4 linked regions of the Caenorhabditis elegans genome follow. The protein of the gene in region 2 purifies or fractionates together with the protein of the main gene of each other region. This does not show direct contact. Each region holds a gene or a part of one and is shown on either strand. Other genes may lie near its edges.

Region 1 (6,317 bases), on a different chromosome or scaffold from region 2:
GTAGTGAGATCTACTTCTGGATGAAACTGGACACCGTACAGCTTGCGGTTCTCGTTACAAATTCCTGCAAAAAGGTTTTGAGATGAAAGTACGAATATTTGATGAGGGGTTAGAAGCATTGGTAAATATTAAAATCAGAAAATTATTATTTAATTTTGTTTTTTTTTGTTTTAAAAAAATGTGAATAAAATTTTCAATAAACTCACCAGCAACATGATGGCCACTTTTGGCCATAACTTTGAAGTCTGGAGCCACCGTAGCCTCTGATACACTGTCTCCGTGAGTTAGCAAGACAGTTTCTGTTTTGTGAAGTCCATTGAACAAATGAACGCTCGTATCGACTTGAATTTCACATGCTCCGTCTTCTCTGATATGCTCTCTTGTTACAGTTCCTCCATTGAGCTTATTCATCAACTGAAATCCGTAACAAATTCCAAGAACTGGCAATCCACAAGTGAAGATTTCTGGATCGATTGACGGGGCTTCTGGTTCGAATACCGAGTTGGGACCACCAGAAATGATGATTCCCTTGAATCCGCCAAGCTCGATGAGTGTACGAGCTGTCGTGTTGAGTGGAAACATCTCTGATTGTACGAGAAGCTCGCGAACACGTCGATCAATAACTTTTCCATATTGTGCTCCAAAGTCGAGGATGGCAATGCGTTCGCCACTTGAAACCTTCTCAACTGGAAGATTCTCGACAAGGGTGACGTGACTTCCTGAAGCTTTTCAACATATTAGTTTTTGTCTTAATTATGAAAATGTGAGTGAATACAAAAATCTAATACAAAAAAAAAGTTATTTTATTCTAAAATCACATTTTCATTGAAATTATCTACTTACCGTTCATATTGGCACTATCAAATCGATCTTCTGGCGCCTTCTTCGGTGGTGGAGCTTTGTTCTGAAATATTATAATTCTGTATGGTATGTATTTTCGGCTTTTTAGAGCAAAATTTGAGAGCTTGTTAAACGTGGAGCCTGCTGACATGCAGCTGCCAAGGCAGATGAAATGAGAGTGAAAATGGCTGAACTGTTAGGAGATAGTGAGAGACGCAGGGCATAGAGTGCAAAATAAGTTGGAAAGAGCAGCTTTTTGACTAAAACTGGCCTGAAAAGTCCGAAAAAAGTAGCCAAACATTGCTAAAATCTAAAATTACTCCAACTTCTCCTAAATTATTATCCTGAATTGCATCTTTTGGTCATTTATCTCTAATTAATTCATTGATTTAGGCACATTTTAAGTAGATAGGCATCAAAATTGGACGCCTACCGACTTAAAATGTGCCTAAATCAACCAAAATATGCAATAAAAGGTGATAATTTCATAAAAACAGTATTCCTCAATGCTTTGAGTGGCTCAAAACCGAGCATCGGGCGGCTTCAAGAGTAGGAAGAAGATGACAGCAAAAAACAAAGAAGAGATAGTTGAAAAGTTCTCTCAGCACAGAAACTGAAATCAAAATCAAACAATGTGAGAGAGAGCGAGAGAGTGGTGAGACGTAGAGATTGAAAAAAAAAGAGAGAAACAAAACCAAAGGGAACCTTTTGAATGACGACAAGAGGAAAGGAGAGAGCAGAACCAGTGCTGTAACAGAGAAAAAGAAATAATGACGAAAAAGATAAAAGTCAGGAGAGAGAGAGAGAGAAATGGTGGAAAATCATATTAAAGATAATATTTTAAAAAAGTGCTGCTGTACTTGGAAAAATTGCAAAATTTTTCAACTAGACCCTAGTTTCCTAGTTTTCCAGCATTTTAGTGTTCGGCTGGGAGAATATAACTACGATTTCGTCGAGGAGAATTTTCTACCAAGAAAATATATTTTCCAGTGAAAAACGCTTATCCCATGAGAAAAACCAAGGAATTCTCACTGAAAATTGTGATAAATAAGACAAAAACTGCCAACAAATATTAAAATATACTCGGTTTTTAGACGAAAACTATCAAGAAACGGCGCAGTAATCCTGAAAATCAGATAGAAAGTTCTAGAAAAGCCGGTATAATCTGAACTCCACGTCAATTAGGTCACCTAGTTTCGATATATCACTGGATTAACGTGAACATTTTTATTTATTTAAAAAGAAAACCCTTCAGGTTACAGGAAAATTAGCTTTTTTTCGCGAAAAAACATGTAATTTGAGCGCCGAAACATATGGTGGAACCCCCCTTGAACAGAAAAGTCGGCATGTGGCTTTAGTGACAACTGATCTTTTGTCTTCAGAGGAAGATATTGTGATTCTAGAGAACTTTGAACTATTTGGAGTCGGAAAAAACAGAATGTAGTTGCGGAGAATGCAATAAAATTGCAATTATTTCTTTTCTTTTATAGTGACGATTTCAGGGAAAATTGTAAAAGCCCTTTGCAGCGATAAAATAATTAAATTCAACGAAAATTCAAAAAAGAAATCCATTAGCAAAGCGGCAAGATCAAAAGAAAAGTACAAGTTCTGACCGTGGAATGTTGACTGTCCTCGTTGATGTCCAACATTGAACTCGATCTTTTCATAGTATGCTCACTGACTTTCGAGACGGCCTTTGTTCTTTTTGCACGCTGAAGCTAGGTTATAATGATTTGAAGTCAATGGAAAGTGGAATTTTTTGGCAATTTATAATGAAAACCTCCTTAAAACGCACGTTTAAACGTTGAAAATGCTTTTTTTCGTTTTTTAACGTTGAAAACCAAATCGGGAGCCAATTTACAGAAATGTGCGCGAATTTTCACCCAGTTTTTCAAAATTTTCACATTTAAATACTCACTTCAGATGGAAGGTTGCGGCAGTGACGTTTACTCTGACGCGCTCCAATTTTGACTCGTTTTGGCTGCAATTACTGAAATAACAAAATTTAGTGGATTCGGTGTTTTCTCGGAGATGAAGCGATGAGAATGTACAGAACACGGATAAACTTGCGATGAAAATTTCATGTCAATTAATTTAAAATTAATTTTTTCGGTTTATTAACATAAAAATTGACGGAAAAAACTTAAATTTAAAAGCTCGAAGAAAAAAACAAAAATTTGAAGAACTCTGGCGAAACGCCAAAAGCTCGCGGGTCTCGCCGCGATTTGCCGACGAGAGTGACTATGGGTACGGTGGAGGGACGAGAGAGTGAGAGAAACGGAGTGTAAAATCAATGAAGTGGTCGCTCCGTTTCGCAACTTTCCTGCTTTCTAATGGCTTTTAAAATATATTTTTGCGAAATTTAATCTTATTTGTGAACTAAAAAATCATTACCCAATCGTTTAGAGTCTTTTTATGTTTTTAATAGGTTGTAACGACTTAAAATCTGACATAAAAGTTTATTGTTTCAGGGAGCACACCCACATCCGGCTCGAAACTATCAAAAATGGTATTTTAATAAATATTTTAAAAACAATTTATAATAAATATTTACCAGGGAGAACAACAGCTCGATTGTGCCCTCGACTTGATGCGAAGACTTCCTCCACAACACTGCGACAAGAATTTGACGGACCTCATCGATCTGTGCCCTCATCTTGTTGATGATCTTCTCAGTATGTTTCCTTTTTAACTAATTTAAAAAAATTCGCTTGATGGTTTTAGGCACTATCGATCAACCGCTGAAAATCGCCGCGGACCGTGAGACCGGCAAACAGTATTTGCTTTGTGACTACAATCGAGATGGCGATAGCTACAGGTATGAGTCATTTTATTTGAAATCTATCGATTTTTTCTGATAATTCAGATCACCATGGAGTAATACCTATGATCCACCACTCGAGGATGGACAATTGCCATCGGAAAAGCGCAGAAAAATGGAAATCGAGGCAAATGCCGCTTTTGAGTCATACCGTGATTTGTAAGTTGACAGAAAAATCATATATTTGCTCATAAATAATAATAATTTCCAGATACTTCGAGGGAGGCGTCTCATCAGTTTACTTCTGGGACTTGGATAATGGAGGTTTCGCCGGAATTGTGCTCATCAAGAAAGAGGGAGACGGAGCCAAAAATATAACAGGATGTTGGGATTCTATTCACGTTATTGAGATCACGGAAAGAGTTGGTTCAAAAACTGTTGAAGAGTTTTTTTTTTTAATTTATAATTTTCCAGGCACGCCAGGCTCACTACAAGCTCACCTCCACTATCATGCTGTGGCTGCAGACAAACAAAAGCTCCAGCGGTGTGATGAACCTCGGTGGCTCCCTTACAAGACAGGTTTTGGTTTCGAGTTGTGAATATATTTAAAAAGAAATATTATAGCATGAGATGGATGCACCAATCAACGATCAGAACACACACTTGGCTAATATGGGACGAATGATTGAGGATCAGGAGTCGAAAATGCGTCTGACGATCAATGAGATATACTTTGGAAAGACGAAGAAGGTAAGCAAAATGCAAATTTATTATATGAAAAAAGTTTCATTTTTAAAAAGTACAATTTTCGAAAAAAATATTTTCCAGGTGATGTCGGATCTCCGTTCAACAGAGAAGCAGAGTGAGCTCGAGAAGCAAGATGAGATCGTTCGCGAGTTGAACAACGCCATGGCTAACCGCGGAAACTGAGTGATCTATCTACATTTGCAGCTCAAAATCTCTCATTTTAATGCTTTATTTGCGAGTTTTGTATATTTATCTACCATAATACCAGCTTGTTTCTTCTTTTAAAACCTTTTTTCATTGCCTTTTCTCGAGTGTAAACTTTTTTTCTAGAATTATTAAAATCTCTTTTCCCACAATTTCTCCTCGCTCCAAAGTGTATGTGCTATGGCTTTTCCACAATTTATTACCAAAATGCCTTGATGTTCCTTCCGAGAAGAGCTTGAGCTTTTCCTGGACCATTTTCGTTCTAGGTGCTCGTTCGACTGTTTTGTATTTTGCAATGTAAATTATCCTCTTTAAGATTACTTTTCATTTCAATTATATTTTCGATGAAAGTATTTTATTCCTTAAATTTAAAAAAAAAGAGAGGGTCTTCATCACCACTTTGAGAAATCTCCAAGGCCTGCTCTTGCAAATTTAGTTTTCTTTGCGGCCTCCAAGGGTACATCTTCCATTTTTCCTTGTCGTTTATTCACAGCTGCGGCCGACTTCATGTACTTGCCGACTCCAGTTCCAACTGCTTCTGGTTTTGTTGCAGTTTCTTTAGCTTTTTTATTTGCTAATGAAGCTGCGTCCTTAGAAGCTGAAAATAGATATCATTAGTTTTAAAATTAGTAATAGAATTAAGAAACTTTTCTTCAAAATCTCTGCTCTCTCAGCTTGAACTTCTTTCTCAGCTTCTTCAAATGGATCCACAAATACTTCAGCTCTCATAATAACAACTGAAACCATCGGAACATCAGTTCCCTCTTCAGTTTCCAACTTTTCAATCGTCGTTAGTGTATCCTGTCCTCCAACAAGTCTCCCAAAAATTGTGTGCTTTCTGTCCAAATACTTGCACGGCCGGAATGTAATGAAGAATTGTGATCCGTTGGTGTTAGAGCCCTTATTAGCCATCGAGAGCACACCTCGAGCATCATGGGAGAAACCGGAGATGAATTCATCTGAGAATGGCTTATCCCAAATTGATTCTCCACCATGTCCTGTACCAGTTGGGTCGCCTCCTTGCAGCTGAAATTTTTAATTATTTTTTGTTATAACTTTAACTATTTTTATAATAAATTTACCATAAAGTTTTTAATTAACCGATGAAATTTGGTGTTATTATAATATCCATTCGAACAATGTGTGATGAAGTTTTCACAGGCCTTCGGAACTTTCGGCGCGAATAATTCCAGATTCAATGGCCCAAAATTTGTAACAAGCCGCACAAAAGCATTTTTCTTAACTCGGCTGTACCGAACTGTATCATTATCCAAAACAGCTGCTTTATTGCTTGTAACTGGAGCCATTACAGTGGATGTGAATCCAGCTGCGACTTTTCCTTGACTATAATGTGCTGCATTGATCTCATCGGCAGTTTCATCAGTTTCTGTGGAGCTCTTCTTTGGGACATATTCCTTATCCAATTGATCAAGAACTGATTTGCAAGCATTATTCATTCGTCGAATGTAGAATTTTGGATCTTTCATTGCATCTTTTTCTTTTTTAATCTCTTCTGACGTCTTTAAATCAAGCTTCACGTGTAGAAACTGCTCCATATTGAATTTTTCCAAATGATTTGGGTCTTGAAGATCAATTATATCAGCTCTTGTGAACGGAACATCGGTTAGAAGATCCTTGAGATGATTTCTTTTTAAATTCAATTCTTGCACGGCTTCATGAGAATAGACGTTTCCGGAAGTAGCGATGGCCAGAATATGACTGTGGTCCGTGAATGTTCTGAATGTAACTGGGCATCGGAACTTTC
Region 2 (10,558 bases):
TCGTTGATGGCTTCGATGGGGCATTTGTGAACTTTATTGAACATTGCCTCTATCTAGAAAAGCAATTGATTGAAATCAGGGAAAAAGGTACGTGTTTAGTATACCTGGCTCAAAAATATTCACCATTTTGAAACTTTTACTTGAACCTTTTTAGTCTTAAAAAAATAAATAAAAAATCAAAAGCCTAAAAATGCAAAACATTCAAAATTTCGATTAAAATATCATTTTTAAAAGAAATGAATGGATAGCATATTGGAAAATATTTTTGGGTCAGGTATGCTTAATACAAAATTTCCAAAAAAAATGATTGAGAGCTGTTTATTTGTAAATCTATAATATAAAAGTTCCACAGAAAACAGCCGTGTGCGGCATATTTCAAAATTTGCCGAGCTCGGCAAATTCGGCAAATCCACTTTTTGAAAATTGCCGAGTTCGGCAAACGGCAAATTTGGCAAATTTACCGCACACCTCTTACAGAAACTCCAATTTTTAGATAGCAAATTGTATACTTGATATTATTTCATGCGGTGAAACCTTTTAGACTATTAACAAAATTCCAGAATACTGTAACTTCCCGATAAACTTAAATTGTTTGACCTACCGTTGTGAATGTATAAGTATTAAAATGACACAGCTGCAGACAGGAATCTGGAAGACCTCGAGCTTCACAGCACGATCGGAAAATAAAATTGGGATTTGTTAATCTGTCAACACTTAAATGTTGGGATGTCTTCTCCGGTCGTAACGCGACACTTGCTTCTGCCAACTCAGCCTGTTCATGTGTCTCATCGTTTACCAAGACTCCGTCAATTCGTTTAGTTAGTGAGCCAAACGCTTTTCTTCGAGCACAACCGTATTGTCCGCAGGCATATCCTTGTTGGCATTGATTTCCTCCACAAGATACCTGTGGAAAATTAGAGTCAGAAAATGAATTCGAATGAATTTTTTAACAGTCACAAATGCTTTGATAGTCAAATCACTTCGATAGCAGTGACAAATTTTCTTTCTACAAATGACTTATGAAAGTTATACGGGCATTAAAATTCAATTTCAAGTTAACTATGTTTTTACTTACCGGTGGAGGAGTCCGCCGTTTACAGCAACCACCTGATTGACTGCAACAATGCATTAGACCTATGCAAAACGATAAAATAAGGAGTAGAAGCTGCATGGTAGAGCTATCAAAAATTAGCAAAACTTCTTCAGAACTTGGGTTTTTATATCAATTATTAAGTTGACGCAACTGGTATTTTGAGTACCTATACCTAGCCGCAATTACATATTGTTAATTGGTAGTCACTCAAGAGAACTCAAGAGGATTTGAGAATATTCGAGAGGTAACTGGAATAAGTGGTCATCTACTTGGGCTTTGGCTAATTATAATTATAGTCAAGTGTAATTATCAATGAATATAAAATCTGAGAGTTTCAAGTAACATTTCCATAGTTTCATATCTCCTCTACCATCATGATCCGAATCTTCTTTGTTCTTCTCGCTACTCTCCTCATTCTCACCGATGCATGTGGATCTAGTGGTGCATGTGGTTGCTGTGGTTGCCGAGCAAAAGCAAAGGCGAGAGCTGCAAAACGAGTTAGTGGAGATTTGGTTCAAGAGTTTGATGGAAAGGATGATGGAAATATTTTTGGACTCAAAGTCTGGAATGATACGAAAACTCCAATCACTGAAAAGAGCATTCAGTTGTTGACAGTAAGTTTGTTTCTGTACATTTGGTAGATCATGGGGATTTTACTGTAAAAAAGTCAAACTTTTAAATATATTTCATATCAATTTTCAGAATCCTAACCACTTGTTCCATGTATGCTGTGAGGAACGACAGTTGCCTCCCGCATGTGTTCAGAAATGCCATTTTAATGTTTATAACAAAGGAGTGGTAGGTTTAAATAGGTCAAGTTTATATTGTGAAATTGAATTTCAAAAATTGTATAGCTGGAATCAATGTTCTTTGGTTCAAGTGAATGCCCGATTGAATTCCTGCCAGAAATGCAATTTTGTGCGGCTCAAGGAAAAGATCATAGCCAGGTAAAAGGTCGTTGAAATCTGCTCAATAACTTCTTACTAGTTTCAGTGTTGCTCACAAAGTCAGGTGGATGCAACGACGGCTGGAAGTAAATGTCTAACCTTCTGCGATCAAACACCCGATCTCTACACTCCAATTGATTACAGCTATGCGCCTTGCCTAGACAGGTTTCCATATCTTTTTATCTTCCAATTCTCGAGGCAAAAGTCATGTTGAATTAAATTGGTTGCAGGTTCGAGGACATGAAACGATGCTTCTATGATAATGTGAAGTCGGATGCAATCACACATTTCGAGGCGAAAAAGAGTTTGCAGGATAAGAGTACATCTTATTAATTGTTTTTGATTTTATATTTACTTAACTTGAGATTTCGAAATAAAATGTGCGATTTCGCAATACCCATCACGACATACTTTGTATTTCATTTTCCATTAAAGCGGAACTATTACACATTTGCGAATTTCTGTGGCAATTGCATAAAAAAACCGGTACCGGGTCTCGACACGAAAGATTCTCTTAAATGCAAAAAGTGTGATCTTCGGTCCGTGGAGTACTGTAACTTCCAGCAGGGCTAATACAAGAGAATTTGAACAGAAAACAATACATAACATTTTTATTCAAAAATGCCAAAAAATTATAATACAATTCAATTTTGAAAACAGTTTTTCGTTGTATTTTGGACCAAAAAAATCGGTTTTTTTTTGCGCAACGTTGTTGGATTCTCAACGTGTTTTATCTCAGTTTTTCCTTGAATTTCGGTAAAACAGAACAAAAAATGAAATGTTCAAAAAAAGTGTTCCAAACTACAGTACTCCTTAAAGGCGCGCACACTTTTAAATCAAAGAAAATTGGTCGTGTCGAGACCCCGTACTGTATTTTTTGTGTAAAACTCGAAAAATTTCCGTGTATGAGTGATCTACTGATTGAAATTGAGAAAACAAAGTTTATCCGCAGATCAAATTTGTTTTTTTTTTCTTTTCAATATTTCACGGCAATCATTTCTTAATCCAAACACGTAATTCACTGTCGTAATTGCTGATGACTCATTCATTTCATACGAACGCTTTTCTTTTGTCAATCCTTCGGCCGTACAAACATAAATTTTTCCTTGTGAAATTAAAAACTCCGCCCAAAGCGAAGAAAATTCCCAGAAGAAATTCGGCGGAAAAGCGCGCTCTACCGAGAAGCGGGGCGCGTCGCGTCGCGTGCCCTGTGATGACAGGGCGACTTGTTCAAGCTTGGCAAACAGGAATCATTTCTCTCGATCAACTGGCTTCTGCATGTTTGACAAAGCTCTCTCTTGATAAGACATTTCCGTTCAATTGTTTTATTTTTACGTTTTCCCTCTTTTTAGGTGCGCTATGAGTCCTCAAAAATTTTTCTTTACTCAGCAAAGAGTTCTAACTTTTGGAATTACAATTTTTCCTTCATTTCAAATCATTCACAGTAATAACAGCGGCCAAAGCTAGCTTTAAAGCTGTATATTTTTCCATTTATTCCTTCAATCTACCGATATTCACTTCTATTTCCCGGAAATGTCTCACTTTTGTGATAAATTTTACGTGACTCATCTTTTTATTTTTATCGTGTTCTCTTTTCTTTTTTTTTCAAACATCTCCATTTGCAGGTATATAATTTATTGTAAGAAGTTTTTCCATTCTACACACAGTTTTCAAAGATGGCGCTCCCAATCAAATTTCACGAGCACCTGCAGCTTCCGAATGCTGGAATTCGGGTGCCCAACATTACATTCTCCAATGTCACAATGGAATCTGATAAGAACATTGTTGTTCGTGAGATGGTAGGTCAAATAATCGCAATTAACTGTTCTAAACGGATAATTTCCAGATTGGTGATCAACAACAGGTTGTGATTATTGATTTGGCCGACACAGCGAATCCAACTCGTCGTCCAATTTCTGCTGACTCAGTAATCATGCACCCAACTGCCAAAATTCTTGCTTTGAAATGTTAGTTTTCAGTACCATTTGACTCTGAAGCTTATTTATACCTTTTTTCAGCTGGCAAGACACTTCAAATTTTCAATATTGAGTTGAAAGCAAAAGTGAAAGCTCATCAGAATGTAGAAGATGTAGTTTATTGGAAGTGGATCAGTGAGAAAACGATTGCACTCGTTTCCGACACAGCCGTCTATCATTGGTCGATCGAGGGTGATGCAGCTCCAGTCAAGATGTTCGATAGACATCAGTCGTTGGCCGGAACTCAAATCATAAATTATCGCGCTGATGCCGAAAACAAGTGGCTCGTTCTTATTGGAATTTCCGCAAAAGACTCCCGTGTCGTTGGAAGTATGCAATTGTACAGTACCGAGAGAAAAGTATCGCAGCCAATCGAAGGCCATGCCGCTTGCTTCGTTCGATTCAAGGTAGGACTAATTCGATGATGGATTTGTCATATTAATAATGTTTTAGGTCGATGGAAACCAAAACCCATCTAACTTATTCTGTTTTTCCGTCAAAACCGATAATGGAGGAAAATTGCACGTTATTGAAGTAGGAACCCCAGCTGCTGGAAACACTCCTTTCCAAAAGAAGAATGTTGATGTTCCATATACCGCTGACACAGCTGGCGATTTTCCAGTGTCTATGCAGGTATGTTGCTTATAGTCGTATAAACAAAATTTGATATCTTTCTGATTGATTGTTTATAATTTCAAAAGCTGAATGGTGTTGTTTATAAAATAAATTGTTGGTTTTCAGGTATCTGCGAAGCAAGGAATTATTTACCTGGTAACAAAGCAAGGATATGTTCATCTTTATGATGTCGAGTCTGGAACACGGATTTATTCGAATCGAATTTCGACTGATACCGTATTTGTGACCTGTGAATACACAGCTACAGGAGGAATAATGGGAATTAACAGAAAGGGACAAGTTCTTTCCGTCTCTATCGATGAAGCTAACTTGGTTCCGTTCGTTACGAACCAGCTGCAAAATCCAGATTTGGCTTTGAAGTTGGCCGTGCGTTGTGATCTGCCTGGAGCTGAAGAGTTGTTCGTTCGCAAATTCAACTTGTTGTTCAGCAACGGACAGTTTGGAGAATCAGCCAAGGTTGCTGCATCGGCTCCACAAGGAATTTTGAGAACACCAGCCACCATTCAAAAGTTCCAGCAGTGCCCGTCTACTGGTCCAGGACCATCTCCACTTCTTCAATATTTCGGAATTCTTCTCGATCAAGGAAAGTTGAATAAATACGAAACACTCGAGCTGTGTCGTCCGGTCTTGGCACAAGGAAGAAAGGAGTTGATAACGAAGTGGCTCAATGATCAGAAGTTGGAGTGTTGTGAAGAATTGGGAGATCTCATTAAGCCGCACGATGTGAATACTGCTCTTTCAGTCTATTTGCGTGGAAATGTCCCGCACAAGGTTGTTCAATCTTTTGCTGAAACTGGACAATTCGACAAGATCGTAATGTATGCCAAGCGTGTCGGATTCCAACCAGACTATTTGTTCCAACTTCGTCAAATTCTCCGTAATTCGAATCCTGATCATGGAGCAAAATTCGCTCAACTTCTTGTCTCTGAGAGCGAAAACGGAGAACCACTTGCTGATCTTTCACAGGTAACGAATGAGAATAAGGATTTGGCTAATTTAAACCTTTTCAGATCATTGACTGTTTCATGGAGGTTCAAGCTGTTCAACCATGCACTTCATTCCTTCTCGAAGTTTTGAAGGGTGATAAGCCGGAGGAAGGACATCTGCAAACGAGACTTCTTGAAATGAATCTGCTCGCTGCCCCAGCTGTTGCCGATGCTATTCTAGCCAACAAGATGTTCTCTCACTACGATCGTGCCGCTATCGGACAACTCTGCGAAAAGGCTGGACTTCTTCAAAGAGCTCTCGAACACTTCACTGACCTCTACGACATTAAGCGAACTGTTGTTCACACCCATCTTCTCAAGCCTGATGTGAGTTTCTAATTAGATTTCTAAAATAAATGCTAATTTATTTTCAGTGGCTCGTTGGATATTTCGGAAGCCTTTCTGTTGAAGATTCGGTCGAATGCTTGAAAGCCATGCTCACTCAGAATATCCGACAGAACCTCCAAGTCGTTGTGCAGATTGCATCCAAGTATCATGAACAGCTCGGAGCTGACAAGCTGATTGAGATGTTCGAAAATCACAAGTCATACGAAGGTCTTTTCTACTTCCTTGGTTCGATTGTCAACTTCAGCCAGGACCCAGAAGTTCACTTCAAGTACATTCAAGCTGCCACGCGCACAGGGCAAATTAAAGAGGTTGAGCGTATCTGTAGAGAGTCGCAATGTTATGATGCCGAACGTGTCAAGAATTTCCTTAAGGAAGCCAAGCTCAACGATCAACTTCCTTTGATCATTGTCTGCGATCGTCATAACATGGTTCATGATCTTGTTCTTTACCTGTACAGAAACCAGCTCCAGAAGTACATTGAAGTCTTTGTTCAAAAGGTTAATGCCGCCCGTCTTCCGATCGTTGTTGGTGCTCTTCTAGATGTTGATTGTAGTGAAGATGCTATCAAACAATTGATCATTAACACTCGTGGAAAGTTTGACATTGATGAGCTTGTCGAGGAAGTTGAGAAACGCAATCGTTTGAAGCTTTTGAATCACTGGCTTGAATCGAAAATCCAGGAGGGAGCGACTGATGCTGCTACCCACAATGCGATGGCCAAGATTTACATAGATTCTAACAACAATCCCGAACGATTCTTGAAGGAAAATCCCTACTACGATAGCAAAGTTGTTGGAAAGTACTGCGAAAAGCGTGATCCTCACTACGCCTTCTTGTCATACGAACGCGGACAGTGCGACGCTGAATTGATCAACGTGTGCAACGAGAATTCACTATTCAAGAATCTTGCAAGATATTTGGTGAAGAGAAGAGACTTCACTCTGTGGGAGCAAGTTCTCAACGAAGAGAATGTTCATCGTAGACAGCTGATAGATCAAGTGGTTCAAACTGCTCTTTCCGAAACTCAAGATCCCGAAGACATCTCTGTGACTGTTAAGGCATTCATGGCTGCCGATTTGCCGAACGAACTTATTGAACTTTTGGAAAAGATTGTTCTCGATAACTCTGCATTCTCGGAGCACCGTAATCTTCAAAATCTGCTCATTTTGACTGCAATGAGAGTAAGTTAATTATTTTAGAAAACATATTCGATCAATCCACTTTCAGGCCGATAGAACTCGTGTGATGGAGTACATTCAAAAGCTTGACAACTATGATGCTCCAGATATTGCTAACATTGCTATAACTTCTGAACTCTACGAAGAAGCGTTTGCCATTTTCAAGAAATTCGATGTGAACTCAAGTGCCATCAATGTTCTTATCGAGAACGTGAACAATTTGGATCGTGCTTACGAATTTGCTGAAAAGTGCAACCAGTCAGATGTCTGGGCATCTTTAGCCAAGGCACAGCTCCAACAAAATTTGGTGAAGGAGGCTGTCGATTCGTTTATCAAGGCCGATGATCCAGGAGCGTACATGGAGGTTGTGAACAAATGTTCTCAAACGGAGCACTGGGAAGATCTTGTTCGTTACCTTCAAATGGCTCGCAAGAAGAGTCGTGAGTCATACATCGAAACGGAACTCGTTTTTGCTCTGGCCAAGACTGGTCGTCTCACTGAACTTGAAGAGTTTATCGCTGGACCAAATCACGCTCAAATCGGACAAATTGGAGATCGTTGCTTTGACAATGGAATGTTCGATTCCGCTAAGATCCTTTTCAACAATGTTTCCAACTTCGCCAAACTTTCCGTTACTCTTGTTCGTCTTGGAGAATATCAAGGAGCTGTCGATGCTGCACGCAAAGCCAACAGCACGAAGACATGGAAACAAGTGTGCTTCTCTTGTGTCGAGAATGGAGAGTTCCGGCTTGCCCAGATGTGTGGACTTCACATCGTTGTCCACGCTGATGAGCTTGAGGAATTGATCAACTTCTACCAAGATCGTGGACATTTCGAAGAGCTCATTGCTCTTCTCGAAGCTGCATTGGGTCTTGAACGGGCTCACATGGGAATGTTCACCGAACTCGCGATTTTGTACTCGAAGTATAAGCCAGAGAAGATGCGTGAGCATTTGGAATTGTTCTGGAGCCGTGTTAATATTCCAAAAGTTCTTCGTGCTGCCGAGCAGGCTCATCTTTGGTCCGAGTTGGTGTTCTTGTACGATAAATACGAAGAATATGATAACGCCGCACTGACAATGATGCAGCATCCAACTGAATCTTGGAGAGAGCAACATTTCAAGGAAGTCATCGCTAAAGTCGCTAATGTTGAGCTATACTACAAAGCAATGCAGTTCTACCTGGATTATAAGCCACTTCTCCTGAATGACCTTCTTACTGTGCTATCGCCTCGGTTGGATCATTCGCGCACAGTTTTGTTCTTCAATAAGCGTAAGTTTAAATTTCGTTTAGTTTTTAAACTTTTAATAACAATAATTTTCAGTGAAGCAAATCCCACTGGTCAAGCCTTACTTGAGACAAGTTCAAAACTTGAACAACAAGGCTATCAACGAGGCTTTGAATCAGTTGCTCATTGATGAGGAGGATCACGCCGGGCTTCGTTCTTCTATTGAGGCTCAAGACAACTTTGACAATATCACTTTGGCCCAACAACTTGAGAAGCACCCACTTGTGGAATTCAGAAGAATTTCCGCATACTTGTTCAAGGGAAACAACAGATGGAAGCAATCGATCGAGCTTTGCAAAAAAGACAAGCTGTACAAGGATGCCATGGAATACGCTGCAGAATCGAGAAACGGAGAACTCGCCGAAGAGCTCTTGTCATTCTTCCTGGATGAGAAACTTTATGATTGTTTTGCCGCCTCCCTTTACCATTGTTATGATCTCCTTCACCCCGATGTCATCATGGAGCTCGCTTGGAAGCATAAGATTATGGATTACGCCATGCCTTACATGATCCAAGTTATGAGAGATTATCAGACGAGACTTGAGAAGTTGGAGCGTTCTGAGCATGAGAGGAAAGAGGAGAAGGCTGAGCAGCAACAAAACAATGGAATGACCAGTGAGTTTTAACAAATATTTAGAATTTAAATTTATTTGATATTTTCAGTGGAACCACAACTTATGCTTACCTATGGTGCCCCTGCCCCACAAATGACTTATCCAGGAACAACTGGTGGCTATGGCGGACAGCCTGCTTACGGTCAACCTGGACAACCAGGATATAATGCCCCTGGATTTATGTAATTCGATAGTTTTATCCCCATTTTCTTACCCCCACCCCCTCACTTTCTCCCCGCATCAATAATTATATTGTAATTTATTGCTTGATGTCTATACACTTTTTTTGTTTAAATTATGATATTCTATTTCTATTTATTCCGTCCCCTATGAAATTGTGATGGTTGTATTCTAATCCGTGAACTTATCCTTAAGGTTGTTGGTCCGATGTGTCGTCTCTCTCAGTTCTGCCCGTTTTCAAAAAAAAGTTGATCACAACTCTTTTAAACCACCAGAACCATCATGAATAAATTAATTCGTTGTTACCAATCGCGTTCGAGTTTCGGATGAAATACTGGTTCAGTCCATCATCATAACATTTTAGTTTTACGATTTTAACTTTTTGTATTATTCACTAGCTGAATTTTTTAAATTGAGATCTAGAATAAGCCATTTTCAGGCCGTATAATGTCTACTAAGCCCGCCGCCGCGAAGACGAAGCCATCGTGTAGTGAAGGTGGTGATCTACGTGTTGAGACTGAAAATGGTTCGTAGATTAAAAAATTCCACCGCGAAGTTTTGTATAAATTTAATTATTTTGAAGGTGAAACATTCATCACAGCAACACAAAGAGCCGACGGAACTTGGAGAAAAGCGAGACGAGTGAAAGGAGGGTCAGTAATCTGGCGATACTGGGAATATAATACCGCTTGTCGATTTACGAAGAATTTTGTACTAGACGTGACAGAAATTTCGATTTTTCGGCTGTTTTTGCTGATTTTTAGGCGAAATTTTGAAAGAAATATCGTAGTTTTTCCGGGGAATTTCATAATTTTCTCACAAAAAGTTGTATATTTTACCGTTGTGTTGTTCGTTAAATTATTCCTAATTTAATTATTTTGAATTAAAAAGATTGTACAATTGAAGCCAAATCTGTAAAACAATGCGAAATTGCCACTTGTCCACGTGTAGTACAAGATTTCTCGTAAATCGACATGCATAAATCCGCGTCGCAACTTTCAAGATCTTTTCTCCGCTTTTTTAGTTGTATTTCATAGAAATCTTAACAAAGATCAAAAAAAATTAATTTTCGGGGAAAAAAGGACACTGTAAAAAAATTAATTTTTCTCGCGGCGAGACCCAAAATCTGTGCGCCTTTAAGTACGCCTTTCAAGTACATAAAAATACAAATTTCAGATATATTCCTCAAGATGAACAACCAAAATATCAAAATAAAATGCAGCTGGAAGCGACAAACGGCCGAAGTTCTGTTCCAGCAGGAGTGAATCCACGTGCAATGGCTTCTGGTTCATCCCGTAAGCCTGTCAGTGGTG
Region 3 (7,090 bases), on a different chromosome or scaffold from region 2:
TGAGGGAACACAAATGAATCGGTGAGCAGGAAACCCGTTATTTGCTGTCACATAAAAGTAGTGAATGGGATCCAGAAAATGAGTAAAGAATGGGGAAATCAAAGAAAAATAGGATACAATTATACATCAGTAAGGAAAAGATCTCCAAACGCGGATCGACCTATTTCGAGAAGCAATTTGGGCGATGATTGGATGCGATGAGTCTCGATCTGTACAAAATATGCGGTGGCTTTGTTGAATGCATTGCTCATATTCTGATTGGATTTTTGTTGAGCTAGATCCTTCAAGGTTGATATACGAGAATTGAGTACCGGTGAGTTGGCATCACATCTAGGACGCTTTCCTTCTCCGAGTGTTTGCTGCGTCAAGTAAAGTTCCAGAATGTGAAGAGTAACACGCATTCTGAATAAGTTTTTTTTGTTCAATGGTTGCAATAAAATTAATTTAAACATACTTTTGAGAATATGCTGTCTTTTTGCTGCTGATTAGGGCAGTCAAAAAACTCGATTCGTCTTTGGAAGCTTTTCCAAGATATTTAATTAGAGATGAAAGAAGGTCATCACTTGGTGCAAAATGAGCAGGAAGTGCAGAACTACGATTTGCCATCCATTGAAGATGACGAGCCAGGAGACATATGAAACCAGATTCCGAGGCGACATGTTTAGGACGTATACTGATCACGTAGTGGTGCAAATCAAAGAATTTGTTCTCATCAACGCCCCCATAATCCATGAAAATTTTTAGAGTCAATGGGAGCATCTGAACTTTGTTCTCTGATGATGGTACAGTCATGAGATATGATTTGATAGATTTCAAGCTTCCTGTGGGAAATTGAATCCAATGAAGAAGTTCTGCCCAGTTACTGTCCGTTCCTGAAGTACCAAAAATATAAATTAAGAGATTATAAAATCTCACTTACTTAGGAAGTAGGCACATATAACTTTTTCAATAACTTTCAATGCAGTTGTCAACTGATCAATGTTCAATGAATCGACTAAAGTATTGACAGATGTTAGAACAAGAGGAGAAGTTGGATTTGCAGCCAAATATTCCGACCATATAGATACAAGAGCTTCTGAATTTAAAAATTTGAATAAAGATGTCTATATATAAATTAATTTACCTCCTAGTTTGGCATCTGTGATATTCTTCCACATTGCTGTCAGTTCGCGAGTGACGACCCGGAATTCTCGTAGATTTGCTGTAGAGAAAAATTTAATGAAAAATTGAGTTTCTGGAAATATACTTACAGTGATTCAAGGCTAGTGCATTCACATCCGAAATTAGTGAATTGTAAGCTGCGGGAATTTGTGAGGACTCCGCTTTCAAAAGTAGAGAACTTTCGGTTTGAATCCACAACTTCTGTTTTTGAAGGGATACTTCGGAGAATGGCTCACGTACAACAAAACAACAGATTTTCCTCCATATAACTTGAATTACTGATACCATTTCCACGGGATTTGATAATGAATCCGAGGGCAAACATTTTGTTACAGCAGATGCTATTCCGGCAGCATCTTCCGGATAAATTTTATTCCAGTCAGATCGTAGCGAAAATGATTTGCAAAGCTCCAGCAACGATGCACGGACTTTATCATAATTTCGAGGACGAGCAGCAAGACGAACAAGTACTCCGAATAAAGAAGCCAAGTAGCTTGGTCTACTATCCTCGTGCATTGTTTGAAGAATATTGCTCCACGGAATACGAGCAACCATTTGTGAAATAAATGAAGCACAGTCTTGTGATCTTGTATCCAGACAATTTTCCATTGCTGTTATAGCGAGTCTTGATGGCCATAGAGCTTGCCAATTCAGTCGTACTAGTTGCCGTTCAATAACATCATAATAGTGTTGAGTCCCATGTGTCAGAATAGAAAGTTTTTCACAATAATACTGCCAAACCAATGACTGAATGTTCTGCATTCCAGGTGGTATACTTGAATTGAAATGAAGGGCAGATAGAAAGTCGACGAATCGATCGAGAACGAGCATTGCCTGAGCTTCATGGGAGGTCGAGAAAGGTGGGTGAGTTGGAGAGTATGGGGCGATCAATGGCGAAAATACTGCGGCAACACGGGTGAAATATTCATAACATTCTCTTTGCAGCACTGAAACTGACTTGTTGGGCTCGTATCCATCACGAATAGGCACAAAAAGGAACAGTTGCGCGAGACGAGTTACTGAATCCAAGTAACGAGACCATATTCTAAAAATAGAGTTTTCCAAAAAATAATAAAATGTACGATCATAAACACTTACCCATAGAAATTCGGAAGTTTTGTTCTTGCTTCATCCAATCGCTTAGACAATATTCTAGCACATTCATCAGCTTTGGCAGCTCCCAAGTCAAACGAATTTTTCTTCTTCAAGTAATCGTTTGCATCCAATTTATCAACAATAGCGTCCAAAAGTGAAGCAGGAGTTGAATTCGTGTTACATCCATCCAGAGTCAAGTCAAGTCCATTAACAATGTTATCCGGGAAATGGTGAAACACAAAGAAAATGACATGCTGAAAATAACCAGAATGTTTGTGTGTCTTCTTATATTATTTTACCTGTAAACACAATGCATGAAGTGGAGACGAAGGATCTGGTTGACTGGCAAGATTTGCAAATGCAATTGGCAAAAGAGCGGCGAATTGATGTGGAGGTAAGCCAGCGGCAGCTTGTTGCATGCCAAGGCGACCTGTAAGAAAACTTTTGATGTCTGCGTCTCTTCATCTTATATACTCTTTTCGCTCGTCAAGTATGCTGCCGTGTCTGCATGCATCACATTTCGCGGTTCAATGCAGAACGATAATATTACCACGCAGGAAGACTCAATTTATTTTATTTTATTTCCATGACTATATTTATTTGAAAAGTTCAAACAATCAACCATGGCACCGGGTACCGCCGAGCTGGAAATCGATGAGACTTTGCACTTGCTTCGGATGGTTATGCAAAGGGAATTCATACATTATTTAGAAACATTACCAGGTATTCAAATAATAGTTTTTTTTTCATTTTTGTGAATGTTATAATTTCAGGAACAAAAGAGCTTTTTATCGATAAATGTCTGTTAAGACCACTCGATATGATTGCCACATCATCAGATATGAAACGACACGGAGTGAAACGAATAATGCATTTTGATTTACAGAAATCACCACAGGTAAATAGTGAAGTCCAATTATATTTGGTAATTTTTGTTTTTTCTCAAAGGTTTGGAACATCGAAATCGATCAGCGAGTCTTCTTTCTAAGACCCAACGTAGAAAACGCCAGAAAAATTGTCGAGTACGTGGAAGAGTCAAGCGAAAACCGATCTATTTGTGTGATCTGGTGCAACAGGCAGTTAGAAGAATGCGATCTCGCTTTTGAATCGTCTGGAGTCATTGGACACATAACTCAACTTAGCCTGAATATGTGCCTTTTGCCGTTAGAAAGCGATTTATTTTCATTGCAACATGTGGAATCGGCGCAACCGGATCTTTTCTCTGTTGCCAACATGTTTGTAGCACTTCAAAATTTATACGGAGTAATCCCAACAGTCTACGGATTGGGATCTGAATCGAAGAATTTATGGAACCTAGTTCATGCACTGTGCTCTAGTAACGAACTTCGAGCTCGACCAGATCAACCAATTAGTCATTTATTCCTATTCGATCGTCAACTTGATCCGGTTCCTGTATTGTTGACCGGAGCATCTTACGAAGGTCTTCTTCATGAATTTTTTACCATTGATTGTGGGAAGCTTGCTTTCCCAGTAGATCTACGGAAACAAGTTCAAACTGGCCCATTGGATTTTGATTGGATCGAGATTAATCCGGAAGAAGACAAGGAGGCACATCAACAAAATAGAGGAGATACAGTGAAATTGGATAATTGTGAGGACATTTTTGCATCGATTCGAAACAAGCACGTCACAGCTGCCCTGGAGTTTTTACATTCCAAAGCGAAATCGATACAGAAAAGTATCGAAAAATCATCGATGATTGATGATGTTGCGGATTATAGAAACTTTGTTGAAAAAGACCTGAGAGCGCTCAAAAAGGATCACAAGCATTGTGAATTGCACATTAATGCATGCGAAATGATGATGAATAAAGTTAAAATGGAAGATTATCGAACCATGTTCAAATTAGAACACGAAATGCTACTCGGAACCGTAACCCATGAAGAGTATTTTGATTTTGTTTTTGAAAGAGTTCCGATGAGATCCTGTCGTGATGTGGTTCTATCGATGATGTCACTTGCATCTCTCAAATTAGACGGAGTTCCTGATGATACGTACAACGAATTCGTGGAAATGTATCTACAAAAGTACGGATACGAGCATATGTTCGAACTTCAGAATCTTCGAAATTCCCGTGTTATTTACGCCCGTCGACATATCGCACACGATCGGACTATTTCGGAACGTGCCAGGACATGGGAAACATTGGCAAGAAAGTTCAGAATCGTTAAGGGAAACGAGCCAATGGATATGTCAAATCCTTCTGATATGAGTTATGTTTTCGGTGCAAGAATTTCTCCCCTGCTTTGCAAAATCGTTGAAGATACAATAGATCATGGATGGAATCAAGCAGAATATGAACGAATTATTGGTAAGCAGTTTTAGTTTTTGATTCATAATTGAAACTAATACATATTTCTTACAGGAAAAGATAAAGTATTAGTCGAAGAGAATACATATATTGCGGCAGATCGTCGACCAGATAATCGTACTCGAAAAGCCATCATGGTCTTTGTCAACGGCGGAATTACCTATTGGGAAGTGGCAGCTTTACGGTGAGTACAAATTATAATTACAGCGAAAGAACAAAATGTTTCTTTCAGGCTGCTGGCGATTCAAAAGAACTTCAGAATTCTCATCTGCACAACGCATGTCATCAAAAAGCGAGAATATTTGGAAGTCAGAGCTAAAGACGCATCTTCGGTTTTTGGATCATAACGGGAATTAATGTATAATATAATATGGGTTTAGTTCTTCTGTTAAATAGAATCATAATAAATTATTGCTTACCTAACAATTGCAAAGCCATCTTGCTTCTTTCCGGCATTCTCACAGCGTCCGATAGCTTTCTATACGCTGTGCACAAATCGTCCGAATTGAGCACTTCTGGAGTGAAGACCTAAAATAATTAGATGAATCAAAAGTGCGGTGATTTTATGTTCCGCTTTGTTAATTCCCCCAACAAAACACCACTAATTAGAAATGCGATGTACCTCAACAAGAGGTTCAGAGAGTACAAATCCATCTAATGCCAGTTGCATGACGTCCATTTGCTCTTCGGGACGGAATTTGACATACTCCTGTAATAGAAAATAAATAGATGAAGAAGAAATTAAAATATCGCTTACTTCTCCCAAAGATCGGAGTGAATTACAAAATGAATCAGAAGCAACACTAAATAACAACTCATTCTCTCCAACAGAAGATGTTATAAGATAAAAGAGTGAATGTCCTGTGAGCTGCACATTATTTCTTGTTCCAGGATGCAATGCTGAAGTCATTTTAGCCACTAGAACAGATAGATGTTCGATGCTTGCAGTTGCTACAGCAGCCTTATCGACAATAGAAGCATAAAGTTCATTCCAAAATTCGAAACGTTTAGTCCTGTTTTGAGTCATTTGTAAATCAATTTCAGAGTTCAGAACATTCGGTTTAATGCTCATTGTGCATGCTTTCGGTTTCGAGCAATATGAGCAACGAATTTCAACAGGAATAGTCTGCTGTGTTGGTTGGTAAAGGGCTTTGATCTGCTTACAGTATGAATCATCATCCATTGACATTCTATCTCCGGATTGTGCGAACTGCCTGAAAACATTTCATATGTTAGCTACTTTATTATGGTGACGCTAAATTTCGCGATTTTTGTGCCAAAAATACGGTACCCGGTCTCGACAAGACAAATTTTTACCAAATGCGAAAAGGTGTGCGCCTTTAAAGAGTACTGTAATTGCAAACTTTCGATGCTGCGGAATTTGCACCGATTTACTGTTTTTATTGTTTGAGTTTTTGATGATACAGATATTTATCGAAAAAGAACTATGAAAACCAATGAAAATTCCACAGCTTTCAACGAAAAAAATTACAGTACTCTTTAAAGGCACACACCTTGTTGCATTTGAAAAAAAAATGCCGCGTCGAGACCGGCACTGTGGAAAAATCACAAAACTTCACAACGGGGTAACAAATTGATCAAAACTTACTTGGACAGTTGTTTTATTGTGTTGATGAATGGAGAAGCAAGCTGTAATACCGTATGTTGCTGAAAGAGAATAGATGGATCTATGAGCGGAGCCTGTGGTAATCCAGAATGAACAGGTAGAACTGGGAACGGTTTTGCCGAAGATCTGGATCGAGGTGATCCTATTTCAGGTGGTAATGGTGATTCACGATTTTTAGGTGACAGTTGGCAAGTCACAGAATACAACTTTCTTTCCGAAAACTCCTCAGAATTGAAGTATGGCATATTTACAAAATCTAGCCACATGTTCTTATCACCAGCAAGAATGAGTTGAAGCAGGTAGTCCAGGTCAAATACAGAAAAATCGAATCCAGTTCTCGTCACCTCATGCTTTGTGAACAACCATCCTACTACAGCTTTAGACAATCCTTTTGTTTCAATCGTTGATTCTTCGATTGCTTTTCGACAAGCAGCCATCACATCTTGCATTTGTGGATCATCAATTAGACGTCGGGCATAGCATAAATTCAAATTATTAGCCTTTCTCAATCGATATGCTGAACCCGAAAGTTGTTGTAAGAGAATTGGCAATAGTTGATGATCGTTGCATACAGTTACTAATTTTGCCCATCGGAAAATAGCAAGCCTCTCCACAGGTACAGTAATTGAGCATTTGGATGATGCTTTCTTCACAGCATTATCCAGTGTATACTTATCCTTTTTCGTAAGAGTTTCGAAAAAATGTCCATAAAAAGTGTTGAATGACTTTTGTTCGACTCGAAGCATAACATACGATGCAAACGGAGAAATCGATAGCATCGAATCAGGAATAAGTGGGGATACTGTATTGTCGGATGAAAACATAGACATAATACCCTTTGATTGGTTCTTTTCAGCTGCGAGTTGCTGTTGATA
Region 4 (6,332 bases), on a different chromosome or scaffold from region 2:
AGACCCAGACGCAGTGTGCGAGCTGGGTACATTTTGTGTGACCGTTTTTGAATCTGAGTCATTTCAAGGTGGATCATATCTACTTTAACAGGTGATATATTCTTGGAATATTTTGCTTCGGATGTGATCCTAATATGTATAAGTCAGGTTTGGAGGTGCTTGAAAACGACATTTTCAACATTAAGTTCAAATTTTTTTAATTTGGTACTAATATGGCATGTAGAAATTCTAAATTTCAGGAATTTGCGTTAATAATCTTGTAAGCAACAAATTCCTAGAAGAATATTCTCCATAACTTAATCCTTTTTTAAGACATTGTTACAGTACCCAGTTCTACTACCTCACCATTTTGGAACTTCAAGTGTAGTTCCATGACATCTCTCAACTTACTTGTATATTTTAATAAATCAACCCGAGAGAGTGTTCGAAATTGTACTTATTTTTGCTGAGGAATGATATATTTTGTCCAATATTAGCCAAAGGCTGCTCCAATATACAAGCTCTTTGTGCACATTTCCTGTGACCAAAAATAATGAGTCAAGTTTGAACCAAAATGTTATCACTAAAAATCATACGGGAATTTTGATTTTTCAGGTATTTCATTTACCTGATAAGGCTTGTTCATTTTTTCTTATTCCGTATGAGTATTTTGATTTTAACAATGTTTGTACACTACTCCTTTCAAATTACGTTTTTTTCTAGTAGTTTTGAATTAGAATATACATATTAAAGAATCAAATGTATGGGGTTTCCCTCAAATTTAAAGTTATTACGAAAAAAAGGTTTCCAGCTTTATTCAAAATTCACAAAATGCCACGCGAGAAACAATTGAGATCATTTAAATCAAACGTGCCCACCATTGGCAAGAATAACTTTTTTAATGATTATTAACAGAAAACCAAAATTTGGAATAATAAATGTACATGCCGCAAAAGTGTTTTGCGTAATTGGTAGGGAAGCTATAATGCAAATTCGAGTCTCAATTTTCTGTAGGCGATCAATCATTATCCGATAAGTTTGATATACAATTGGATCTTTTGTGCATTCAAATTCATCATTATTGATCAAAATGCAGTTGGTAGATTTCAGATGTTCTTGTAGAGTGCATGGTGGAATCAGCACGAAAAATATGTAAAAAATTATTGCAGCAAGGTTGAATCCAAGAATAATTGAGTATAAAAGAGGATTAGAATTGAAGAATCTGTAATTTAAAGTTACTATTTTCAATTATAATTTAGACAATCAGCCAAATTTTGCTACCGGGACTTTTACACTTACGAGGTGATATAGATACCATTGATTAGACTCCACAACAAGAAAAATGGTGCAAATCCGCCAAGGCTCGAAAGTGAGCCATTGGTAACTAATATCATCTCGAGAATTTCATTCTGTCGGATATCGAATTTTTCTAAAACGCCAATGTTTTTCAATGTTTTCTCTTCTTTTGCTTTTTGCAGCTCTTCATTAAAATAATTAACTTCGCGGTTCAGAGCAGAAGAGATAAAAATGTAAATTGCAAGACAGATTGTCGATATGTACCAAATGTAGAAGTTTGTAACCAGAATGAAAATTCGCGAGAGAAAATTTTGCTCTCCTCTGAAACATTCAAACATTTAAAAAAATCGAAATTTCATTTATCATTCCCAGATTTTCCTAGACTAGAACTTACCCTCCATAATATATCTTTCCATTGATGAAATTGTAGATTATCCAAGACATCATTGCTACAAACCAAGGTATTGAGAAGCACAGAGCAAGAATATGCAGAATACGAAAATTATCCAACTTTGGATTTGCCACCTGTCGTAACATTCGAACTCGTACCAATCGTCCGCAAAACTTTTGGACCAGTCCATTTTTAGTCCACCCAAAAACACAAAGGGAGCACACAAATCCAAATAAGGCAGAATATCCGAAAAAATTTCCTTCTCCCCATCCGAACGATAATGGCTGTAGAAAATATCTCGTAAGTTTTTCTGTTTTGAAACTCAATTTCCACTTACAGTTCCAACTGTTTCCATTAAAATTGGAATTCTTATGAGTGTTACTACGATCATAAAAAGTCCTAAAATGCATGTGAAAATAGTCATTCGTTTAGATTTTGCAGAACAATCTAGCAATGAAAGCTTCACCAAATACCTGAAAGGGCCAAGTAGTTCTGACGATATATCATCTGAAACTTTTCAAATCATTATAGAAAAGTTTATGTATACTTCACCATCGGAAGAAAATACGGGAAGGGTGGACATTCCAAAACTTTTAAAATCAAGTCAACTCCGTTCTCATTTTTCAAACCTTTATACAAAGAAGATCCACAGAAATGATGTCAAATTTCTTTTCTTTTTTGTGACTCGTTACGAATGTGAGTCATTTCAAAGTAGATAACATTCACTCAATTTTGTGATACGGTATTTAATGTTGCGGGAACATACTTATTATTGATTAAATAAATATTGATTTTCAATATAGGTGAAAAGCTTTGGGTATTCAACGGGCTTGAAATAGTTTGAATATAATTACACTCATCTAACTCTACTTTGGCAGTGTTTTAAATGTTCAATAAATTCCTGAAAGAGAGAAGTAACATTTTTTGAGCAGTAGTGAAATCGTTTAATTTGAGATTTTAAAACACGGAAGTTTCTCTACAAATCCCTATGATTAATTTCCTTTTCACGAAAATTTTCGCGAAAAATGAAGCTCTGTTGCGAAATTTAATTTTCAAACTTCCGCCAACAACCGGTCGCGTCGCGTGCGCGCGTTGCGGCTCCAGCTGTCCTCTTGATTCATTCCACTATTTCGCTCTTCCCAACACGCTGTCCTTCTCGGATTTTCCAGTTTAACCGCTTGTTTGATTTGTCATCTTCGTGTTTTCTAAAGCTTTTCTGTCTCATAAATCACTTGTTTTATCTGCTAATTATTGATTTTTTCCAAAAACATTTAAATTTTGAATTTCCAGGGTATAAAACACAAAAAAACTACAAAATGTCGGATCCAGTGGCGGATTTTTTGGCTCGTGAACAGAATTTATTTGCTGATTTTGATGGGGCACCACCAGCAGCTGCAGCAGCTAATCCAGGTAAGATTTTGTTATGAAATTTCATGAAATCGATGATTCATTTGTTTATTTTACATTTAAAGTGATTTTTCTAGATGCGCCAGAAGCCGATGCTCCAGCTCCAGCTCTTGATGATGACTTTGGAGACCTCCAGGTTTTTAACAACTTTCTTCAACAAAAAATATAATATTTTGCTTTTAAGATTGCTGGTGACGAGCCACCACCGGTTGTGCATCCAACTGATTCCGGAGTCGATTTGGATGGACTTGTCGACGACAATGCTGCCGCACCAGCAATCGTTGTTCCTGCCGTAGAACCAATGGTGAATGGAAATCATTCTGCTTCTTCCGGAGGTTCTAAAGGTCCATCACCAATTCTCTCAACTGTCCCAAGAATTGAGGCTGAAAAAATTCGACTGTGGAAAGCTCAGCAAGAGCAACTTCTTTCGAAAAAAGATGAAGCTGAAGAAAAGAAAAAGATTGAACTTCGTGCAAATGCCAAGAAGGAGCTTGAAGAGTGGTATAAACAACGCGAGAAGACCCTTCAATTGTCACATGACGAAAATCTGTAAGTTTTCGAAATTCGATTAGATTCTTAAACACGTAAAACCATTTGCATGAAATATTGAATTCAATCATTTTGAACAAAAATAGCTAAATTATTAGAAATTGCTCAAAATTATACTTTTCCCAATTTTCATTTTAAAAATTGCAGGAAAAACGAGAAATCCAATCAAGAACTTTTCGCCAAGCAACAAGATGGAGATGCTCAATGGGAAACAGTGAACAAGCTCGTTGATCAACAAAAATCGAAGAGTGGAAAGGATCTGAGTCGTCTGAAAACCCTGCTTGCTGGTCTGAAACATGCTGGAAAATAAACAAGTATCTTGAATATTTAACGCAAACACTTATATTTTTCTCGCCGTTATTTTTCCTTCGCATATTCGCTTCAATTCTTTTCACTGTTAAATAATGTATTTATTATTTATGAGCAAAAGTAGTCAAGTTTACGTTTCCCGATTTGGTTGTCATTCACTTTCCCTCCCTCCAGCCACCACCATCATTTTGTGTCGCCCTTCAAATTTTTTTCAATTCAATCCCCTGTTCTAATCAATCCATTTGAGCTCCGATTTCCGATAATCCCTTTCTTGTGATAAGTAAAAAAAGAAGATGAACTGTTTTACCGCCCCATGTTCGTCTTTCTTAATAGCGTATCCGTTCGCTTCTGATTCTTGCTAGGTGTTGTGTTGTGTTGTGGCATGCTCTTTTGTTTTTCTGAAATCTTTAGCCCAACGCAGCCAACATCTGGCAGTTTCAGATGAGTTTTGGAGATGGCAATCCCACGTTCGAAGAACTTATGGAAGTTGTGCAACGGCAGCAAGAAGTTATTGAACTTTTTGAGCAACAAATTGAAGCCTGTCGTATAGAATGTGTGAAACTGGCAGATGAAAGTGAGAGAAAGAGTGAGCTGTTTATTGAAATGGAAAAGACTGAAGAAATTATGAAAAATGAAATTGAATTTTTGAAAGTAAGTGAGAAACTTTTATGTTAATATTATTCACATGACAATATCAGATGTTTTTGAAAAAAGGAAAAGAATAAAATACTATTTGATTATTATCCAGATGCGAAAATTTGCGATTTATGGCTCAAATATGGTCTAGACACGACCGAATATATTCAAATGAAAAATAATGTGCGCCTTTAATAAGTACAGTAGTATCCGCGAAAAGGTGTTTTGAAAGTTTATTTGATATTTTCTTTAGAAAACTTTCATTAAAAAATATTTTTGTGAAACTAAATAATTGAGAAAAAAAAACAAAATGTAGAAAAGAAAGAGGAAATTTTTTGTGCAAAAGAGAAAGGCGAAACTGGAGACTACTGTACTTCTTAAAGGCGCACTCTCAATTTTCATTCGAATAAATTAGGTCGCGTCGAGACCGGACATCGTATTTTTGTCTTAAAAATCGCAAATTTCGCCACGCAATAATACATCCGAAATTTCCACAGACCGGGAATGATTCAAAGCGAAATGAACGGGAGGAGAAAATAACTGATTCGGAGCTGGAAACTGTTGGGGAACTTAGGATCAAATGCAAAGAGGTATTTAAATTCTCGGTCCCGCTACGAGTCAAATATATTTCCAGCTACCGTACCCGTGAGTACGGTATGTTTTATTTTTAATGGGTTGGCTGATATGTATCATGTTTCTAATAATTGTTAATATTAAAAAAGGTTATAAATCAAAAATATTAGAAAAAAACGGATACACGCACAATGAAACTCAAGGGTACGGTAGCTGGCGAATTTTCACTGCAATTTTTGCCATATTTCATGGATCATTTTAAGACCAGTGTAAAAGAGAACATGCATCATTAAAATTACCTGAAATACTTTACCAATTGCATAACTATTCCAACTTTCAGATAACCTTCAACCTAGAAAAACTCAAAACTCAAAACGCCGCACAAGAAGTTGAACTGGAACTTCAAAGGAAAAATAATGAACTTCTTCGATTGGAACTTGATTCCGAACGACAACAAAATTACGATGGAAAGCGCAAAGCTACAGTAACCACTGAATCCATTCAGAAGGATATGCTAGAAAAATGTGCAAAACTTCAAGAAAGTCAGACTAAATATCAAATTGATTTAGCTAGAATGAAATCAGAATTAGAGCTCAAAGAGCACAGGGAGAAACAATTGGAACGACATTATGAAGACATAATGGATGAGATGAAGGAAATTCGAAAAGAAAAATCATCGGCAATGGTGAAATGCTCTGCTATGACTTCTGAAATTGCAGAGCTCAAAACTAAAATTCAGCAGTTGAGAGGGAAGTTACCGAGAAATGAGCATGATATAGAGGATATGAACAAATTGCTTGGAGATCAGAGTCATTTGATTGCTGCGTTGAGGGAAGAGACAAAATTGTTGGCGAGAAAGTTGGAAGGAGACTCCAGGGATTACAGGTAGGGTAGGGGTGATCTAATTGTAAAAAAAGACAGACGCGCTAGAAACAAGAAGACATACCTTCCAAAAGCTTCCAAAGAAGCTAACTAACAAATATCGGTATTTCCTTGGTGTTTTTGATAACAAACCTACCATAAATTGAAAAATTTATTTAATTTACTTGAAATTCAAATACTGGTTTTTATCGTAGATAGGGTCTCGCCACGAATGCATAAACCTAAAAGTTATAGTCACCTGAATAATGCGAAGATCTCAAATTAGTTTTAACTGTATTTAGATACTTATTTTCAGACAAACCATAAAAGT

The links.
Region 1: the proteins of chc-1 (region 2) and cap-2 fractionate together in Caenorhabditis elegans (co-fractionation; one large-scale study listed by BioGRID). This does not show direct contact.
Region 3: the proteins of chc-1 (region 2) and vps-33.2 fractionate together in Caenorhabditis elegans (co-fractionation; one large-scale study listed by BioGRID). This does not show direct contact.
Region 4: the proteins of chc-1 (region 2) and clic-1 fractionate together in Caenorhabditis elegans (co-fractionation; one large-scale study listed by BioGRID). This does not show direct contact.

What each region holds. Positions count from the first base shown.
Region 1 is NC_003280.10:10,865,885-10,872,201, forward strand, and holds cap-2 (F-actin-capping protein subunit beta), read left to right. Parts: upstream 1-3,311; 5' UTR 3,312-3,346; coding exon 3,347-3,349; intron 3,350-3,397; coding exon 3,398-3,515; intron 3,516-3,564; coding exon 3,565-3,658; intron 3,659-3,706; coding exon 3,707-3,820; intron 3,821-3,872; coding exon 3,873-4,023; intron 4,024-4,075; coding exon 4,076-4,180; intron 4,181-4,225; coding exon 4,226-4,351; intron 4,352-4,429; coding exon 4,430-4,531; 3' UTR 4,532-4,943; downstream 4,944-6,317. Other genes in the region: gmps-1 (putative GMP synthase [glutamine-hydrolyzing]), read right to left, coding at 1-64, 207-725, 844-904, 2,454-2,507; cyn-4 (Peptidyl-prolyl cis-trans isomerase 4), read right to left, coding at 4,945-5,150, 5,200-5,578, 5,635-6,317. UniProt on the Caenorhabditis elegans protein: F-actin-capping proteins bind in a Ca(2+)-independent manner to the fast growing ends of actin filaments (barbed end) thereby blocking the exchange of subunits at these ends.
Region 2 is NC_003281.10:10,200,156-10,210,713, forward strand, and holds chc-1 (putative clathrin heavy chain 1), read left to right. Parts: upstream 1-3,665; 5' UTR 3,666-3,716; coding exon 3,717-3,839; intron 3,840-3,886; coding exon 3,887-4,007; intron 4,008-4,058; coding exon 4,059-4,423; intron 4,424-4,469; coding exon 4,470-4,649; intron 4,650-4,757; coding exon 4,758-5,618; intron 5,619-5,662; coding exon 5,663-5,965; intron 5,966-6,012; coding exon 6,013-7,167; intron 7,168-7,213; coding exon 7,214-8,435; intron 8,436-8,487; coding exon 8,488-9,066; intron 9,067-9,114; coding exon 9,115-9,251; 3' UTR 9,252-9,549; downstream 9,550-10,558. Other genes in the region: dbd-11 (DB domain-containing protein), read right to left, coding at 1-53, 602-904, 1,076-1,171; dbd-12 (DB domain-containing protein), read left to right, coding at 1,468-1,707, 1,796-1,891, 1,948-2,040, 2,087-2,205, 2,271-2,373; T20G5.9 (Partner of Y14 and mago), read left to right, coding at 9,693-9,771, 9,829-9,898, 10,422-10,555. UniProt on the Caenorhabditis elegans protein: Clathrin is the major protein of the polyhedral coat of coated pits and vesicles. May play a role in yolk protein clatherin-mediated endocytosis by oocytes during oogenesis.
Region 3 is NC_003280.10:6,598,445-6,605,534, forward strand, and holds vps-33.2 (Vacuolar protein sorting-associated protein 33B), read left to right. Parts: upstream 1-2,771; 5' UTR 2,772-2,879; coding exon 2,880-2,979; intron 2,980-3,029; coding exon 3,030-3,154; intron 3,155-3,204; coding exon 3,205-4,588; intron 4,589-4,642; coding exon 4,643-4,772; intron 4,773-4,820; coding exon 4,821-4,935; 3' UTR 4,936-5,007; downstream 5,008-7,090. Other genes in the region: epg-5 (Ectopic P granules protein 5), read right to left, coding at 120-402, 455-872, 920-1,075, 1,124-1,201, 1,251-2,206, 2,260-2,510, 2,556-2,686, 5,008-5,116 and 3 more. UniProt on the Caenorhabditis elegans protein: Plays a role in vesicle-mediated protein trafficking to lysosomal compartments and in membrane docking/fusion reactions of late endosomes/lysosomes.
Region 4 is NC_003283.11:7,731,536-7,737,867, reverse strand, and holds clic-1 (Clathrin light chain), read left to right. Parts: upstream 1-2,956; 5' UTR 2,957-2,982; coding exon 2,983-3,076; intron 3,077-3,150; coding exon 3,151-3,209; intron 3,210-3,257; coding exon 3,258-3,622; intron 3,623-3,769; coding exon 3,770-3,932; 3' UTR 3,933-4,244; downstream 4,245-6,332. Other genes in the region: srr-10 (Serpentine Receptor, class R), read right to left, coding at 844-1,201, 1,279-1,596, 1,670-1,950, 2,004-2,173, 2,219-2,249; T05B11.7 (uncharacterized protein), read left to right, coding at 4,373-4,582, 5,065-5,157, 5,481-6,025, 6,318-6,332.